Oryctolagus cuniculus: one gene and its partners. Each later gene encodes a partner of the first gene's protein in a complex. Links are inferred from orthologs where the notes say so. Each region holds a gene or a part of one and is shown on either strand. Other genes may lie near its edges.

Evidence for each region.
Region 2: MMS19 (region 1) and CIAO2A share a complex: the UniProt entries of both Homo sapiens proteins name them as parts of the CIA complex. The link is inferred for Oryctolagus cuniculus from reciprocal best matches to the Homo sapiens genes MMS19 and CIAO2A.
Region 3: MMS19 (region 1) and CIAO1 share a complex: the UniProt entries of both Homo sapiens proteins name them as parts of the MMXD complex. The link is inferred for Oryctolagus cuniculus from reciprocal best matches to the Homo sapiens genes MMS19 and CIAO1.

The regions. Positions count from the first base shown.
Region 1 is NC_091446.1:32,353,553-32,359,841, forward strand, and holds the start of MMS19 (MMS19 nucleotide excision repair protein homolog), read left to right. Parts: upstream 1-2,127; 5' UTR 2,128-2,188; coding exon 2,189-2,303; intron 2,304-6,289. Other genes in the region: UBTD1 (ubiquitin domain-containing protein 1), read right to left, coding at 1,237-1,306. UniProt on the Homo sapiens protein: Key component of the cytosolic iron-sulfur protein assembly (CIA) complex, a multiprotein complex that mediates the incorporation of iron-sulfur cluster into apoproteins specifically involved in DNA metabolism and genomic integrity.
Region 2 is NC_091443.1:87,153,460-87,159,825, forward strand, and holds the start of CIAO2A (cytosolic iron-sulfur assembly component 2A), read right to left. Parts: upstream 3,422-6,366; 5' UTR 3,194-3,421; coding exon 3,070-3,193; intron 1-3,069. UniProt on the Homo sapiens protein: Component of the cytosolic iron-sulfur protein assembly (CIA) complex, a multiprotein complex that mediates the incorporation of iron-sulfur cluster into extramitochondrial Fe/S proteins.
Region 3 is NC_091433.1:111,311,538-111,315,671, reverse strand, and holds the end of CIAO1 (probable cytosolic iron-sulfur protein assembly protein CIAO1), read left to right. Parts: intron 1-68; coding exon 69-157; intron 158-370; coding exon 371-572; intron 573-1,013; coding exon 1,014-1,101; intron 1,102-1,908; coding exon 1,909-2,149; 3' UTR 2,150-2,540; downstream 2,541-4,134. UniProt on the Homo sapiens protein: Key component of the cytosolic iron-sulfur protein assembly (CIA) complex, a multiprotein complex that mediates the incorporation of iron-sulfur cluster into extramitochondrial Fe/S proteins.

The DNA of each region.
Region 1 (6,289 bases):
TTGTGGGATGAATGAAAGAACGGAAGGAAGGCAGGAAGCCCTTGAGTTGCCCATCCACTTTCCTCAGTCAGAAGAATGGCCCGGGCTGCCCTCCGACACCGGGGTTTCGGAGTTAAGTCTCACCCCTCCATCCTATGAAAACACGTCTCTTCCGCCACAAGCCATCCTGTGCACCGCACAGACATCCTTCCCTGCCTCCCCGACGGTTTCCCATCCTCCTTCCCGGCTTCCGCGTCGGAGCAGGTGGGAAACTGAAGTTCCCACTTCATTCACAACTCTGCGTCCGGCTCCCCTTCCACCAAGGGCTATGTGGCAACGGGCAGGAGGAGCACGCTGGCCGCCAGCCCCACTCGCACGGCTCACTCGCTGTGTGACTTTGGACAAACCCGCCAGCCTTTCGGGACCCAGCCTTTTACTCAGAGCGGAGGAGGCGGATCTGTCTGGAACCCAGACAAGTTTCGGCGCTCCTCCGAGCACTACAGTCTATGATTTTATCATTCTCAGAAGGTCCTTGCAACACCCTCGGAGAAGGAAGTGAGACCCAGAATGACCGCCGGCCCTCTCCGAGGGGCCGAGCGCCAGGACTGAAGGGGCGCACGGCGAGAGTGAGACGGCGCGGCCGGTCCCGCGGATCCCCAGAGGGCGCGGCCCCCTCCCAGCGCTGGCGCGGAGCCCCGCAAACCCGAGGGCGCCTCTCGCTCCGCACCCCACCTCGCCACAACTCCCAGACGGCCAGGAGGCTCTAAAAAGCCCTGCGGGGGGAAAAAAAATAAAGATTTCTTTCCCAGAGTCCTGCGCTGCTTTTGCAAGTCGGATTCCGGCAGACGCGATCCGCAGCCCGAGAATGACACAGTCAGTCTCGGGAAGGAGCGACCGACCGTGCCGAGTCGTGGGGCCGCCCGGCAGTTCGCGCCGCGCCCCGACGGGCAGGCGTCCGACCCCGGCCCGGGCTGCCAGGCCGCCGGCGCCCTCGCCCCCGGCCCTCCTCCCCGCGGCGGCCCCGCTGCGGTCTGCGAACATTTCCTGCCCCCGCCCCCACCGGCCACCCGGAGCTTCCCAGTTGGAGCGAGTTGGTCTCGCAGCCCGGTCGGCGTCCCCGGCCTCGTCAGGCTCGGAGCTGCGCTGGGAGAGCCCAGGCGCCAGGGGCCGTGGGAGGTCGCGCCGGGAGCCCAGGGCCCCGGCGAGCAGGGGCCGACCGGCGAGGTGCCCGTGGCCCTGCTCGTTCCCCGTGGTTACCTGCTCGCTTGCGGGGGTGTCCTGGGGCGGCTGGCCTCTCCCCGCGCTGTCTCCCCACGCAGTTGCCCATGCTGGCTCCTCAGCCGGTCCCCATGCACCGGAGGCGGCGGGGTGGTCGGCTGCTCCGCGCCCCTGCCCCGGACGGCGGCGTCCCGGGTCAACGGCTCCTGCCGCCCGGCATCTGACGCTCCGGATCTCCCCCCGGGGGGGCGCGCTCTGCCCCGGCGCCGGCCTCGCCACAAACTTTGCGGACCCGGGGAGGGAGGGAGGGAGGTGGCCGACTCCCCTGCTCAGTCCCAGGTGGCCGGGCCAGGGGGGCCCGCGACGGTGCCCGGCCGGAGACCAGCCCCGCTGAAGGGGCGGAGAGAGGGGGCGGGCACCGCCGCAGCTACTCCCGGCTCGCTTGGGGCTCCCAGCTGGGGCCGGCCCCCCGCAGCCTGTCACTCACCTGCCTAACCCCGCCCCAGCCCGGCCCCACTCCCTTCCGCCGGCTCGCGGTGCCCGCGCCGCCGCCGCCACCCGCCCCAGGTGCGCATGTGACCGACGGCACCGCCCCCTTGGGCCGGGCCTGATTTTCTCATTGGCTTCCCCCAGGGTGCGTACCGCCCCTCGGCCCCACCCAACCAGGTGTCCTCCCCGCAGCCCGTCTCCCGGGGAGCCGGGCCGGGAATTATTCGCCCTCAATGGCCCCCGACTGCGTGCCCAGCGAGCCGCCTTCGCTCTCCGCGCCACCGCCCCGGCCCCAGGCCCCACCCCTCGGGGAGGGGCCTTCCCTCCCCTCCTCTACCCTCCCCTCCCTGGAACTGCCCGATCAAGAGCTGGCGGCCACGTGATCCAGGGAGCGCCCCGCCCCCGCGGCATCCACCCAGCGATTGGCTCAGGGGGCGCGTGCGCAGACAAGCCTGTCTCGCGCCTCCGCCTCCTTCCCCTCCCACGGTCGCTCGTTAGCGTCATGGCCGCCGCCGCCGCTCCCCAGGAGGCGGCGGCGCCTACGGGCCCCCTGTGGGGACTCGTGCAAGACTTCGTCATGGGTCAGCAGGAGGGCCCCGCTGACCAGGTGGCTGCAGGTACGGCAGACAGCGCCGGGCCCCTTCCGCTTGGGGGCCGACAGGAGGGAGCGGCCTCAGCACAGGCGCGGAGCGGGAAGGGAGTGAGGGGCAGGATGACTTTGAGAGATCAGTCTCAGGGCTGCTTAGTGAGCATCGAGCTTAAGAAGCGTAACAAGTTGGAGAGTCGCGCGCATCTTCCATACAGCGCTTTTACTCTCGACGTCTCCTCACAGCCAACGGTAGACCGTCATTACATGTCACTGACGAGGAGACGCAGGCCCGGAGAGCTGCGGCGCGGGCGGGAGGGGAGCTGGGGCTCAGACTCGGGAGTTCAGGTGGCTCGGGCTGCCGGCTCCGGGAGACCACATTGTTTGTGGAGATTGACGTGGGGAGGTGACTGCTGGGCGCGTCCGCTCGCGGCGCGCGGCATCTTGGGAGTGGCTGTAGTCGGAGCGAGCCGAGCGGCCAGTCGGGGCAACTGGAGGTGGTGTCGCATCCGCCTCTAGACTTTCCCTCTGTGTCTTGGTGAAGTTCTTGATTACTTTTGCATCGTGACTTTTGTGCGGCATTATTTTTATCTTTTTCCCAGATCCCCTGTCTCCTCTGCTTTGGACCTGTTCAGGGAATCTCTTAGTTCTGGCAGTTTGTTAAAGATTGGAATAAAAATCCTAGACTTGCTTGGGTTCTGAGACTTAGCTCATTTAGGGAAAAAAAAAATCTAAAACTTTCAACCAGTCATTCCACCATTATTGAACACGGTCTCCAAAAATGATGCAGAGCAGGACTATAAATACAAATTAGATCTGTGCCCACCAAGAACTTGCAGTGTGTGTGTGGGGGGGGGGGGGAGAGACAGCCATGCTATAAGAGGTAAATGCAAGGTGGTCTGCAAACATCACACAGCAAATGTCTGATGCTGCCCCTATTTATTTTTTTATTTGAAAGGCTGTTACAGAGAGAAAGGGAAAGATAGAGATTGATTGAGAGATCTTCCATCTATTGGTTACCCTCCAAGTGGCTGCAATGGCCCGGCGCTACCGAAGCCAGGAGCCTGGAACTCCATCTGGGTCTCCCATGTAGATGGCAAGGGCCCCAGCACTTGGGTGATCTGCTGCTTTTCCAAGCACATTAGCAGGGAACTAAAACAGAAATGAAACAGCCAGGATACTGGTATCACAGGTGACAGTTTAACCCACTGTACCTCAATGCTGGCCCCTAAACTTAACATCTTTGTTGCTCCCCCTCTTCGTGGAGGAACGACACAGGACCCTGTGCTGTTCTTTTCATCTGCTCGGCCCTCCCCGGGTTTGCTGCTGGTTCTTCCCGGGTTGGCTACTATCCCTTCCACCTCCGTGGAAGGGCAGTTCCCCCTGGCCACATTCCCCACTTCCGCAGGGGAGCGGCACACCGCCGGCCGGCTTTCTCGGGGGCTGCACGGGTTTTCCTTCAGCTAGATGTTCCCCATAGATGTTCCTGGTGCATGCCGTCTCTCTCCTCCTTTATAGTCCTCCTCCGCCAATCCTAACTCGGCTGCCCACACGCCGAGTACGCTGCTCTCCTCCAATCAGGAGCAAGTCCTACAGTTTATTAGTTGAACTGGAGGCAGCTGCGTAGAAGCTGTTTACTTCTCTCCCAGCGCCATATTGTGGGAGAGCAGATGCATAGAATAAGTCCTAATTCCAGTAACTCAGTCTAGTCCGGTTGCTCCCCACAGATCCCCCTTTCTTTTTATTTTTTGGCGTTGATACGCGCCTGTCTTCGGTGTCCCGCGGCACACACTCTGCTCTACTTGCTAGAGTTGCCACAGGCTCTTACAAGTCCTATCAATCAGGCAAACCGAATCCGGGTCCTCTCTTCGCCATGTTGTGAGGAGGTTTTTAGGCGCTGATGCGTGCCTGTGTTCGGTGCCCTGCAGCGCATGCTCTGGTCGAGCCTGCAGGGGCTTACAAGCCCTATCAGGCAAACCGAATCCAAGCCTTCTCATTGCCGTATTGTGGGGGAGACTTATTAGTGTTGGTTCGTGCCTATCTTCGGTGACCTGCAGCTCATACTCTGGTCGAGCTGCTTGCTGGTGCTTACCGCCTTAATTAGGCAGACCGAATCCAAGCTTTCTCATTGTTGTATTGTGGGGAAGCCTTACTGATGTTAATTCGTGCCTGTCTTCGGTGACCTGCGGCGCATAAGCTGCTAGCCGCCGCAGGTGCTCATCGTGCTCATCGCCTCACTTAATCAGGCAGACCGAATCCAAGCTCTCACAGTGCAGTGTTGTAGGGAGGCCTTTCTATTTCTCTATTTCTCTATCTCCGGGCATTCCTATTTCTCCCATTTTACTTCTATCTTCCAGCATTCCTATTTCTCTCACTTTGCTTCTAAACTTCTGTTTCTCTTATCCCCGCAGCTTCCCGCTGCCCGCCCCGAGGCTACTTCTCGGCGGCTTCCCGGCTGAGCCGCTTCAGCCCGCGCCTCTTTCATCTGCGCAGCTTCCCGGCTTTGCGCGGCTTGGCTTCGCGCGCTCCGCGGTCTCCACGCCCTTTGCGTCTGCACCACGGCCTCGCGCCAGCCCCGTTCCCTATCTATTCACGCCCCGTGCTCTCTCTGCACGCGGCGGCTTCCGCGAGTAACACAGCGTAGCTTACGTGTCCGCCACTAGCATTCAATCTAAGTTCCCCGGGCTAGCCTGGCGAATTCAACCCAGCATACGTCTCCGCCCCACGATTTGGCTTCCCGTCCTTTGCTCCCCGGGCTAATCAGACGGATCCCAATCTGGCTTACGTTTCAGCTTCTGGTTTCAACTTTTCGCCCCCCATTCCCGGGCTAACTTGAGAATCCCAAAGTGGCTTTCGTGTCCGCCTTGGCCTGCCCCCCACGGCTTCAATTTCCCTAACATTTTTCTCTACCCGGTATGTTTCCCCAAACTTTCCTCCAACGATATTCCTCCCTCATTTCTCCTGGCCTCTCCCCACAGTCCGCGTCCGAGTCTGTTTGTTCTAGCTTTCACTTTCGACCTTAGAGATTTCTCCCAGCTTCCCCCCGTAGTCCGTATCTGAGTCTATGCCTAGGCTTTCAACAGCTTCTTCCGGCACCCTTTTCGTCCGGCTTTTCCCTAGGCTGTTTACTAGTCTCTCCTCCGGTATTTTCCCAGTTCTTCCCGTTTCTTCCCTCCTAAGTTTCCTATCCGTCCTAGGTTTCCTATCCAAGCTAGGTTTCCTATCCGAGTCACGGCACCATCATGTCGCTCCCCCTCTTCGTGGAGGAGCGACACTAAACCCTGCCTAGGCTTCATATCCGAGTCACGGCACCATTATGTCGCTCCCCCTCTTCGTGGAGGAACGACACAGGACCCTGTGCTGTTCTTTTCATCTGCTCGGCCCTCCCCGGGTTTGCTGCTGGTTCTTCCTGGGTTGGCTACTATCCCTTCCACCTCCGTGGAAGGGCAGTTCCCCCTGGCCACATTCCCCACTTCCGCAGGGGAGCGGCACACCGCCGGCCGGCTTTCTCGGGGGCTGCACGGGTTTTCCTTCAGCTAGATGTTCCCCATAGATGTTCCTGGTGCATGCCGTCTCTCTCCTCCTTTATAGTCCTCCTCCGCCAATCCTAACTCGGCTGCCCACACGCCGAGTACGCTGCTCTCCTCCAATCAGGAGCAAGTCCTACAGTTTATTAGTTGAACTGGAGGCAGCTGCGTAGAAGCTGTTTACTTCTCTCCCAGCGCCATATTGTGGGAGAGCAGATGCATAGAATAAGTCCTAATTCCAGTAACTCAGTCTAGTCCGGTTGCTCCCCACAATCTTTTTTTTTTTTTTAAGATTTTATTTATTTATTTGACAGGTAGAGTTACAGAGAGTGACAGAAAGGTCTTCCTTCCGTTGGTTCACTCCCCAAATGGCCGCAACGGCCGGAGCTGCGCCGATCCAAAGCCAAGAGCCAGGAGCTTCTTCCTTGTCTCCCATGTGGGTGCAGGGACCTGAGGACCTGTGCCACCTTCTACTGCTTTCCCAGGCCAC
Region 2 (6,366 bases), on another chromosome or scaffold:
CCCATGTGGGAGACCCAGATGGAGTCCCTGGCTCCTGGCTTCAGCCTGGCCTAGCCCTCCCTAATTGTTGCCATCATTTTGAGAGTGAGCCAGGGGGTGGAAGGTCTCTCTCTCTTTCTGTCACTCTCTCTTGCTCTACGTTTCAAGTGATGAAAATAAACAAAGATTTTTTTTAAAAAAATTCCTCAAGCTGGGGCCAGAACTGTGGTACAGCAGGTTAAGCCATGGCCGGCAGTGCTGGCATCCCATATAGGTACCAGTTCGAGTCTTGGCTGCTCCACTTTTGGTCCAGCTACATGCTAATGTGCCTGGGAAAGCAGCAGAAGTTGGCCCAAGTGCTTGGGCCCATGTGGGAGACCCAGAAGAAGCTCCTAGCTCTTGACTTCAGATTGGCCCAGCTCTGGTCATTGTGGCCATTTGTGGAAGTGAACCAGCGGATGGAAGATCTCCTCTCTCTCTGTCTCTCCCTCTCTCTCTCTAATTCTGCCTTTCAAATAAATAAATCAATCTTTAGTAAGAAAAAAAATTCCTCAGGTAATTCTTATGTGCAGCCCAGTTTGAGGAATCATTGGTGTAAAGAGAAAGAGACCCAAGGAAAGACTCACGGGAAGCACAAAACTTAAGGGTCAGAATGAGAAAGTAAAGAAAGAAGAAGCAGAGAGGGAGAGAGGCGGCTGCAGCATCAGATGCTGCCAGAGCACTGAGGCCGCCGAGAGCTGAGGCAAGTCTTCGACCTGTCAGCCAGGAGGCCATCTGGAGGAAAGAAGTTCTGCTAGTGACGCAAGGGCCCAGGCCAGCCCGCAAAGGGGAAAGCGAGCCAGGACTGAAAGTGTATTCCTAGGGCCTTGGTTGGGAAGGGAAGGGCAGAGAAAGGACAGCAGCTTAGCAAGGAAGCTAGAACAATGACGAGAGTTAGGGAAACCTGAGTATGTTTTAAAGCCCCAAAGGAAAGATTAAACAGGGAGGGAAAGACAGAAAACATAAAGAGGGGAGGAGGGGAAGCTGGCCAAATAAGCAGAAGATGATGGGGTCACGAAGGCGGGGACCGGGGCTGCCCTGGGAGAGGCAAGTCTTCCTTCTTACCAGGAGGCTGTAACAGAAGAGGAGAACTGATAAAGAGGAACAGCGAGGCAGACAGCGGCAGCCCCGTCCACATGGTGGGCGTGAGGTCCTCAAGCCTGAGGCTCCCTTCTACTATTCAGGGCTCCCTTGCAAACACAGATGCGGTTGAGAAACACAGACCAATCTCCTACTTTCTCCCCAGGTATCTCCAAGGCTTACCACTTGATTAGAAGCAGGATTTGAACACGGGGAAGCAGATTTAACTTCTCTTTCCTAGAGCTGTGTTACTATGGGACTCAAAGAGATGGGATTTTTTGACAAGGAATTCTCCGCCTCTCCTAGGCTTGGGTCCAGCCAAGGCTCATTTAAACTCACTGGACTGTGTTCTTTAAAGCTCACCCCCTGACTAAACTTCTCAAGTTTTCTAGCAGTTTCAGAGGCGTGGATGGATTTCTTCAAAAACAAAACAATGCTGCTCTCCACATTACTCCTCTGACTAAAATTTTTCTCTGGCTTCATTTAAATTTAAAATCTTGGGTATCCAATTCAAACCTATCATCAACCTCACCTCCATCTTCAGCCACAGCCTGTAGCCCCGCACACCTGTCATCCCCTTAGCGCCCCAGCTCCACACTTTTGCTCCAGCTTCCTCTGCTTAGTATGCGTTCTCACCCCCTACATATCCAGATCCCAATTATTCTCCAAGGCCAATGCAAATGACTCCGCTTCCAAGTTTTCCCAGATTCCCCTCCCCTCCCCTAGAAATGAGGATCTGTCCTTTGAATTTCGGTACTACGTCTTCAAGTCTATGCCCGTCTATCATATACTGTGTTTTTGCAAAGATAAGCTTTCCTCAATGTAAGCTTAAGGACTAGAAGCAGCGCTCTTCAAAGCTGTGTCCCCAGTGCCCTGCATCCCAGGATGCCATAGAGTATGGCAGGACAGGAATGAGTCTACGACACACCTTAACCATCTGGCCAGGTTAAGTGAGTCCTGCCTCTAGCAAGACAGAGCATTTAGACCAACCCCAGAGGTCTTTCTCACCCCCCACTTCCTTCTGGCCTGTAATCCTCACCCAGATTATATTGGTATTCTTACTGCCAGCTCTTTCAACAGTGCATCAATTCTATTTAGTTAAAAAAATTTTTTTTTCCAAGAAAAAGAGTCCTAAGCAGCTGTGAGATGGTGAAAAGTGCAGTCAGTTTGGGATCAGAAGACGCGGCCTTTGGTGTGGGCTCCAGGCTCCAGGTTGTTGCTTCCATATCTGCACAATGCAGATGGTCCCACAGGTTGGGGAATACTTACTGTAGAGAAAAAACACTGTGTGTGTGCACACATGAGGGTACTTCAAATTGGTGGAAAACGGAATTAAAACACAGGGCTCACTTTCCATGAGGCACCCCACCGTGTGTGTGTGTGTGTGTGTGTGTGTGTGTGTTTCGCACTTCGGCATGGCTGTGCTGAGGAACTCTTAAGTTCGAGGCCTCGCTATGCGAGTCGCCCTACTCTGCCTACTGACTGCCCCAGAAGACAGTGGCTGTGACCTTGGGGCCGTACCCAGCTCGGCCATCGCCCAGCAGTAGTGGGAAGCGGAGTACGCGTGCGGGAGCTAGAGAAGCAAGGAGGATCAGGCAGTAGGAGCCCAGGCCAGCTCTGCCCGCAGGCCAAGCACCGTACGCTTCCGCTCTGCCCACGAGTCTCGGGACGGCCACGAGGGCGCGGGGCAGGTTAAGGGGGTGAGACGTTGAAGGCCTCCACGCTCAGCTTGCCAGGGGTTTAGGAAGAGCCGGGGTCCTGGACGAACCCGCACTCTCGCGTGACTTAGGACCACCACCACCACCACCACCACCCCCCGAAGAAAACGCTTTCTTCGCTAGCGACGAGATCCAGCGAAAACCCCAGTCTTACTCCCACACCCTCAGGCAGCCCTTCTCCCCCACCCCAGCCCGTCCTCCGCCCCCGCGCCTACATATACCACCAAATGCTGCACTGCGTAAAGTTAATTACCATAAACCTCTAGCGCTTTCTCTTCCATGATCCGGGGCTGCCGGGCAGCTCCCCGCTCAGAGAGGCCTGAGAGCCACAGGACTCTGTTCAGCGTCCAGGAGAACAGCCCGGACACCCGCTCCATTCTCACGCTCCGCCATCCCTGGCGACTGTCCCACCCGAGCCACCGTCTCTCAGCTGCCGGTGTCGGGATTTAGCAACTTCCTGGTCTTCAAAAGAGCCAACACTAGTCTAAAGAAAGGGTCAAAGGAGCAGAGAAGAGGCGGGGCCCGACGGAGTAGCGCGAAAGACCTAGGGAAGGGAGCCGCAAGGACTACAAACCCCAGCATGCTTTGCTTGGCTTCAGCGCAGCAAGAAAAAAAAAACAATCCGCGCGACCCAGCTGGCGCTATGCGCGCTAGGATGTATGGGATGTTTTCCTCGGAATACGGCGAACAGTATTCTGGGATTTGGAGTTTCCTCCTCCGAGTGGGCGTGTAACGGTCTGTCACCCACCGCCTGATCAGTGCCCACAGAAAGCTAAAGATGAATCCTGAAGAGGTAGAGGAAAGGAGAGTTTGGTTTCTAGTACGGAGACTATTTACAGTTACTTCTCGGAGGGAGCTGCTTCCAGTCAGTCTCTTCCTAATCAGGCCAGAAGCGGGTTTCCGGTTGCGGTGAAATGGGATGTCGGGGAGGCCAGTAAGGACAGTTAGGCATGGTGGATCTCTGGTTTTCTCGCCTCCTAGGGACTCAGTCCAGCCCAGCTCATCACTGTGGGCTGAATATTTCTGCCAATCGCCTCCAAAGACGACTTAGAGCTAAGAGGACTTTCCCTGCACCCACGGTGACAGAATGGAGTTCGCTATGCTAAAAAGGACGTCTCAAGCCATCTGGTGTACGTGTTGTCATGGATGCCGTTAACATAGTTGATGATGTTATTTTATCCGTCTCGTCCTCCAGTTAAATCTCAGCTATGAATTGGGTACTTAATTTGCCAGATGCGATCTGTAGGTGCCGAGATAGGACAGGGCCCCTGCCCTGAAGCCTCTCGCAGCCCTGTGAGGGAGCCAGCCTCTGACGCTGAAGAATTTGCATTAGGAACAAAGTAAACCTTTTGTCAGTTCGTGATAAATTTCATCTCTGTTGAGAAGAAAGTCAGATTATCTTACAGCACTATCCCTTTTAACATACCCCATGTGTCTTTAAGATGCCTGTCTTGTTTATCTGGTTGATTTAGGCTTTTTAAAATAAGATTTGTTTATTTGAAAGGCTGAGTTACAGAAAGAGGGGAGCTCTTTGATCCGCTGGTTCACTCCCCAGTGGCCACCACAGCCAGGGCTGGGCCAGGCCGAAGCCAGGAGTAAAACAGCCAGGCTGTGCCAGGCCGAAGCCAGGAGCCTGGCACTCCATCCAGGTCTTGCACATGGGTGCAGCGGCCCAAGCACTTGGGCCGTCCTGCACTGCTTTCCCAGACACGTTAGCAGGGAGCTGGATGGGAAACGGAACAGCCCGAGCTCCGACCGTGTCCACATGGGATAATAAGCGGCATCGCAGGAGCAGCTGTACCCGCTGAGCCATAAAGCCGCCTCCTGATTTAGACTTTAGACTCACCAGTCCTTGAGTAGTTTAAACCCTAGAAAAAAATGTTTGAGCAGTTGATACCGCCCCTGCCATCTGTTCCACTCCGCTCACTCCACAGCAGTGAAGACAAGCCTCACTTCTTCCCGACCAAATCTAGTTCGGTGGGGTTTGCTCACCCTCCGCGCTTCCCCAAGCAGAACTGGAGGTCTTGTTCACCGTGCTGGGGCGCTGAGCGTGTGGAACTGTTGATTTGCATGGCTGTCTGTGTCTCATGGGTTGTAAGCACCTCCGTAGGTGGGCCAGGAGCTTGTTTATTTCTGTACCTCAAACGCACAGCAAGCTGCCAGGCACACGGTAGATGCTCAGTACATATTTCTTGGATGAACGCCCTGTAGTTCAAAGAACAAGTGGTCAAACTTTCCCGCTGTCTGTTCAGAGACCTCAGTCAAAAATATTTCTTGAATCTCTGGAGAGGGGAACTGTGCTTGGCCTGGAAAGGTGGCATGTAGAGGCTTTCAAACATTTTTAGTCACAGACTAAAGGCTCCTTTATTCAACCGAAATCTTCAGAAGCCGGTTAGACAAAGCAATCGCAGGGAACACGGAGAACCTGAGCAGCCCCTGACTGCTCCTCTCTGCCCCTCGGCCCGCCCCGGGGAGCTCGCGGGGCCGCGGCGCAGGGCTCCGATTCGCGGGCGGCGGGCGACGGCCCGGCTCGCCCCGCCCCCGGCCCCTGGGCCCCGCCCCCACGCCCCCGCGCCGCCGGGCCCGCAGGGTCCGCCGCGGCCCTCAAGCTCCCAGTACCCCCAGGAACGCTTTGCTCGCGGCGCTATCTCTCTATAAAGTTGTTGTTGCGGCTTCCGCCGCGGGTGGAGGAAGATGGCGACGGGTGGTGGCGGCTGTAGCGCATCGGAGAGACTCCCTCCACCCTTCCCGGGCCTGGAGTCGGAGTCCGAAGGGGCCGCCGGGGGGTCAGAACCCGAGGCCGGGGACAGCGACACCGAGGGGGAGGACATTTTCACCGGCGCCGCGGCGGCCGTGAGTTCGCACCCTTGGGGGCAGCCGGCGGGAGGGAGCCCCCCGAAAAAAAGAGGGGCGCCGCGAGGGGGCGAGGAGGCCGGGCCGTGTGGGCCCGGTGAGACCTCGCCTCGGTGTGGTCCTCCGGGCCCGGAGGCCCTGCGTGGGGGCCGAGCGGTGGGGCCTGGCCGCCCCGGCTCCGGGGCGTGAGGGGTGTGGTGGCCTCGCCGCCGAGGCCGTCCTCTGGCTCTGCCCCGTGGTGACCCCGCGGACCCAGGGGGCTGTTTGGCCCAGGCTGACTTGGTGGGTCCGGACTCTGCGTTGGCGCTGAGCCCTGCCTTTGGGCCGTCTTCTGGCGTGGCGGAGGATCGCGTCCCGCCCACAGATCCCCGCGGCAGCCCAGAACTTAGCGGTGATGAATTACCCAAGGCCCTTGCTGGGGCTGAGATAGCCAAAAGTTGGGCCGGCTCCCCTGTTGGCCGGAGGGAGCCGTGGAGAGAGAGATGCGAGTCCGTAGACCTGGAAGCCTCGTCCCACTTAGTGGGATGCCTTCGGGTGCCCGAGGACCTCAGGGAGGGCAGATCTGGAAACGCGAGGGGGAAATGGTGTTTCCCGAAGAAGCTCCCACTAGAAGTCAGGTGTTGAGAAAACTAATCTTTATTCGTGGAATGTGGAAACCGATGATGAGTGACGGAACCGCTGGCGGTGTCTTGGGCTG
Region 3 (4,134 bases), on another chromosome or scaffold:
GAGTCGGGACCCAGCTGACAGCCGTTCCACGGTGGGCTTCCGGCTTCCCTTCCTTTTGTCTCCCACAGTGGACGAAGAGGATGAGTATGAATGTGTCAGTGTCCTCAACTCCCATACACAGGATGTCAAGCACGTGGTTTGGCACCCAAGTCAGGAGGTAACCGTTGCCCAGCATGGGCTCCTGGTGGGCGGGGACCCTGGGGAGAAGGTGGGCGCCCAGCCTTTTTCTGCTCCTCAGCCTCAGGCTGTCAGTACGGGGTCTCTGTGACCAGAAGACCCTGGTCTGAGCCCTGGGACTGTGCTACCCGGCACACAGGCACTTCCTGGGCCACACAGGCGAGTGCTGGGTCTCTCCCCTCCTTCCCCCCAGCTGTTAGCCTCTGCCAGCTACGACGACACAGTGAAGCTCTACCGGGAGGAAGAGGATGACTGGGTGTGCTGCGCCACCCTGGAGGGCCATGAGTCTACTGTGTGGAGCTTGGCCTTTGACCCCAGCGGCCAGCGCCTGGCGTCCTGCAGTGATGACCGAACTGTGCGCATCTGGCGCCAGTATCTACCAGGCAATGAACAAGGTGCGGGTCCAGTAGCGGAGCTACAGGAGACACGAGAGGCGTGTGGTCTGCTGGGACACATGCCTGATGGTGGCACGTTGGAGTAAAAGGAGCGTGTGCCAGGAGAGGGCTCCAGATAGAACACTCAGAGGAGCTGGGGAAAGCTGCGTGAACAAGGGGTCATAGGATGGGAAGGATTTGAGGAGGAGTCGGGTGGGTTGGCTCAGCTGGTTGCGTGGCCTTCGAAGGCAAGCTGCTAGGTGGGTACGCGATAGTCTGCGGCAGGACGGGAGTATTTCCTTCTTGGAGTTCTGCTCCAGGAGGACCCGTGTGGCCACAGTGTGTGCTGCGGGTCGGTGAGGATGGCGACAGGGATGGGCACGGCGACTCAGGATGGCCTGAAGTCTGCGGTGCGCAGCTCCTCCGCCGAGGCCTCGGGCTCAGAACCGGTCTGTCTTGCAGGGCTGGTGTGCAGCGGCTCTGCCCCCAGCTGGAAGTGTGTCTGCACTTTGTCTGGCTTCCACTCCAGGGCCATTTACGACATTGCCTGGTAAGACCTCCATCCCCACCCCACTCCTGGTAAAGCAGGGATTTGAGAGACATCGTGACCCTCTGTCCTGCTACCAGCGGGGCACAAGAGAAGAGCCGCCCTGTTTCTGTAGATGAGGCCCCCTGTCCACCATGCTAGAGCCGGCCGGCCTGCGAGTCCCAGGGGCAGGACTCAGCCTTAGACCCAGGAGCCCTGGTTAGGAGCGCAGGCTCTGAGGGCAGCACCAGCCCCGGGATTCACGCAGTGCCAGTCCGTCCAGAGAGCAGGACTGAATCTGTGGATCGGTGGTTGGGGTTGTTACGGTTTGGAAACACAGAGGGAGAGTTAGGCAGAAGACAGTTCTGGCCCTGAGAGGGAGGCCTAAGAATTAATGCTAAACAAAGGAAAAAGTTCATAGGCGTCCAAGCATAATTAGTATTAGCAAACAGTTTGGAGTAACGCATACGAGTATGTTGCAAAAAAAGTGGACTTAAGCAAATAATGGTAAAACTCAGTAGCCTGTTCTATCAGTTAAAAAAGACTTCAAAGCATGGGAAACCACTTATGCTCAATGAGAAGTGTGCTCTTCAGAGCTGCTTGGGGTTTTTAGGTTAGTTATAACTGGAAGGCGTATGGAGGCATCTGCAGACCGAGGGAGGTGCTGCTCGTGGCTCTGTCTTTGGGACACTCCCCGGTAAGACTGAGCTGAGGCCTGCAGCTGGGAAGAGAACAGGCAGGGACTGTAGAACAGATCTCTCTCTCGCCCAGTTTGCCAGACTGGGGAGGGAAGAGCAGTCTGCACACCTCCTGATGGCACATTTCTCCCAGGTGTCAGCTGACCGGGGCCCTGGCTACAGCTTGTGGGGACGATGCCATCCGAGTGTTTGAGGAGGATCCCAGCTCGGACCCGCAGCAGCCCACCTTCTCCCTGACGGCCCATTTGCGCCAGGCCCATTCCCAGGATGTCAACTGCGTGGCCTGGAACCCCAAGGAGCGGGGGCTCCTGGCTTCCTGCAGTGATGATGGGGAGGTGGCCTTCTGGAAGTACCAGCAGCCTGAAGGCCTCTGAGCTGCCTTGACTTCGGCATCACAGTTCCTGAGAAAGTGTGCTGAGACTTTGCCAGTCCCAGGAGGGCCTGGAGGAGCATCCTTGACCTTGATTCAACTTGGCTGGCTTCTCTGCAGACTCAAAAAGAGGCATGGAGCCACAGGGTGGCTGGCTTTTCCCCTCCTTTGACACGAGGCCCTCAGTAAAGAGCTACAGAATGCCAGTCCATTTTTGTTAACTCAGAGTTTGCTTGCTTTGGGACAGTGTTAAATTTGGGTGGGTGGGGAGTGTACTGTTTGTGTGTGTGTGTGTATACAAGGGTATGTCAGAAAGTTCCCAGAGATTGTATATTGTGAAAAGATCATGGGTTTCAAAAAAATTTTTGCACCAAAATAAACATCTTTTAATTCCATTTTCCATGAACTTTTTGAAGTTCCCTCATATATATGTAGAAGGGAGAGTGTGTCTCAGACCTTTCCAAAACTGTAAACTTTACAAAAATAATACATTTGAGTCCAAAGTCTTATTTTATAAGAACAGTCACAATTTAAAAAATTCCGTGGTAGTGGCTGGCACTGTGGCAGAGCAGGTAAAGCCACCACTTGCAGTGCTGACATCCCATATGGGCGCCGGTTCGAGACCCGGCTGCTCTGCTTCCGATCCAGCTCTCGGCTATGGCCTGGGAAAGCAGTGGAAGATGGTCCAAGTCCTTGGGCCCCTGCACCCGTGGGGAAGACCTACAAGAAGCTCCTGACGCCAGCACCGTGACTCACTAGGCTAATCCTCCACCTGTGGTGCTGGCACACCGGGTTCTAGTCCTGGTCGGTGCACTGGATTCTGTCCTGGTTGCTCTTCTTCCAGTCCAGCTCTCCGCTGTGGCCCGGGAAGGTAGTGGAGGATGGCCCAAGTGCTTGGGAGACCAGGAGGAAGCACCTGGCTCCTGGCTTTGAATCGGTGCAGCACGCCGGCCTTAGCGGCCATTTGGGGGTGAACCAGTGGAAGGAAGACCTTTCTGTCTGTCTCTCTCACTGTCTAACTCTGCCTGTCAAAAAAAAAAGAAGCTCCTGGCTTCAGATCAGTTCACCTCTGGCCGTTACGGCCAATTGGTGAGTGAACCAGCAGATAGAAGACCTCTCTGTCTCTCTGCCTAACTCTTTCAAATAAATAAATAAATAAATCTTAAAAAAAAGTTCTGTGGTAATTCCTTGTCTGAAATAGGTTCTGCCTTCCCAGTTTCTGGGTAAATTTCTGTATTTAAGACATTCTACTAGGGGCCAGCATTGTGGCACAGCAGGTCAGGCTACCGCCCGCAACACTGGCATCACATACGAGCGGTGGTTTGAGGCCCAGTTTTTGGTTTTGTTTGTTTTTTAAGATTTATTCATTTGTTCAAGAGGGAGAGACAGAAAGAAAGGTCTTCCTTTCTCTGTTCACTCCCCAAATGACTGCAATGACTGGAGCTGGGCCAGGCTGCAACCAAGGGCCAGAAGCTTGTTCCAGGTCTCCTACCTGGATGCAGGGGCCCAAGCACATGGGCCATCTACTGCTTTCCCAGGCGCATTAGCAGGGAGCTGCATTGGAAGTGAAGCAGCCAGAACTTGAACTGGAGTTCACATGGATGCCGGCTTGCAGGCTAAAGCTTGACCTACTGTGCTACAACGCTGGCCCTGATCTACAGAGTTAGAGGCAGAGGCAGAAAGAGCTAGAGAAGTCTTCCATCTGATGGTTCACTCCCCAAATGCCCACAATGGCCTTTGCTGGGCCGGCCAGGAGCTTCCTCTGAGCCTCGTGGGTGCAGGGGCCCAAGGACATGGGCTATCTTCTCCTGTTTTCCTAGGCCACAGCAGATAGCTAGATGGGAAGTGGAGCAACCAGGACTTGAACTGGCCCCTATATGGGATGCTGGCACTTCAGATGGCAGCTTAACCCACTGTGGTACAGCGCTGACCCCAGATAAAATCTTAAAAATAAGTTCAACCAATGTTAAAGGAAAATTTTTTTTTCCA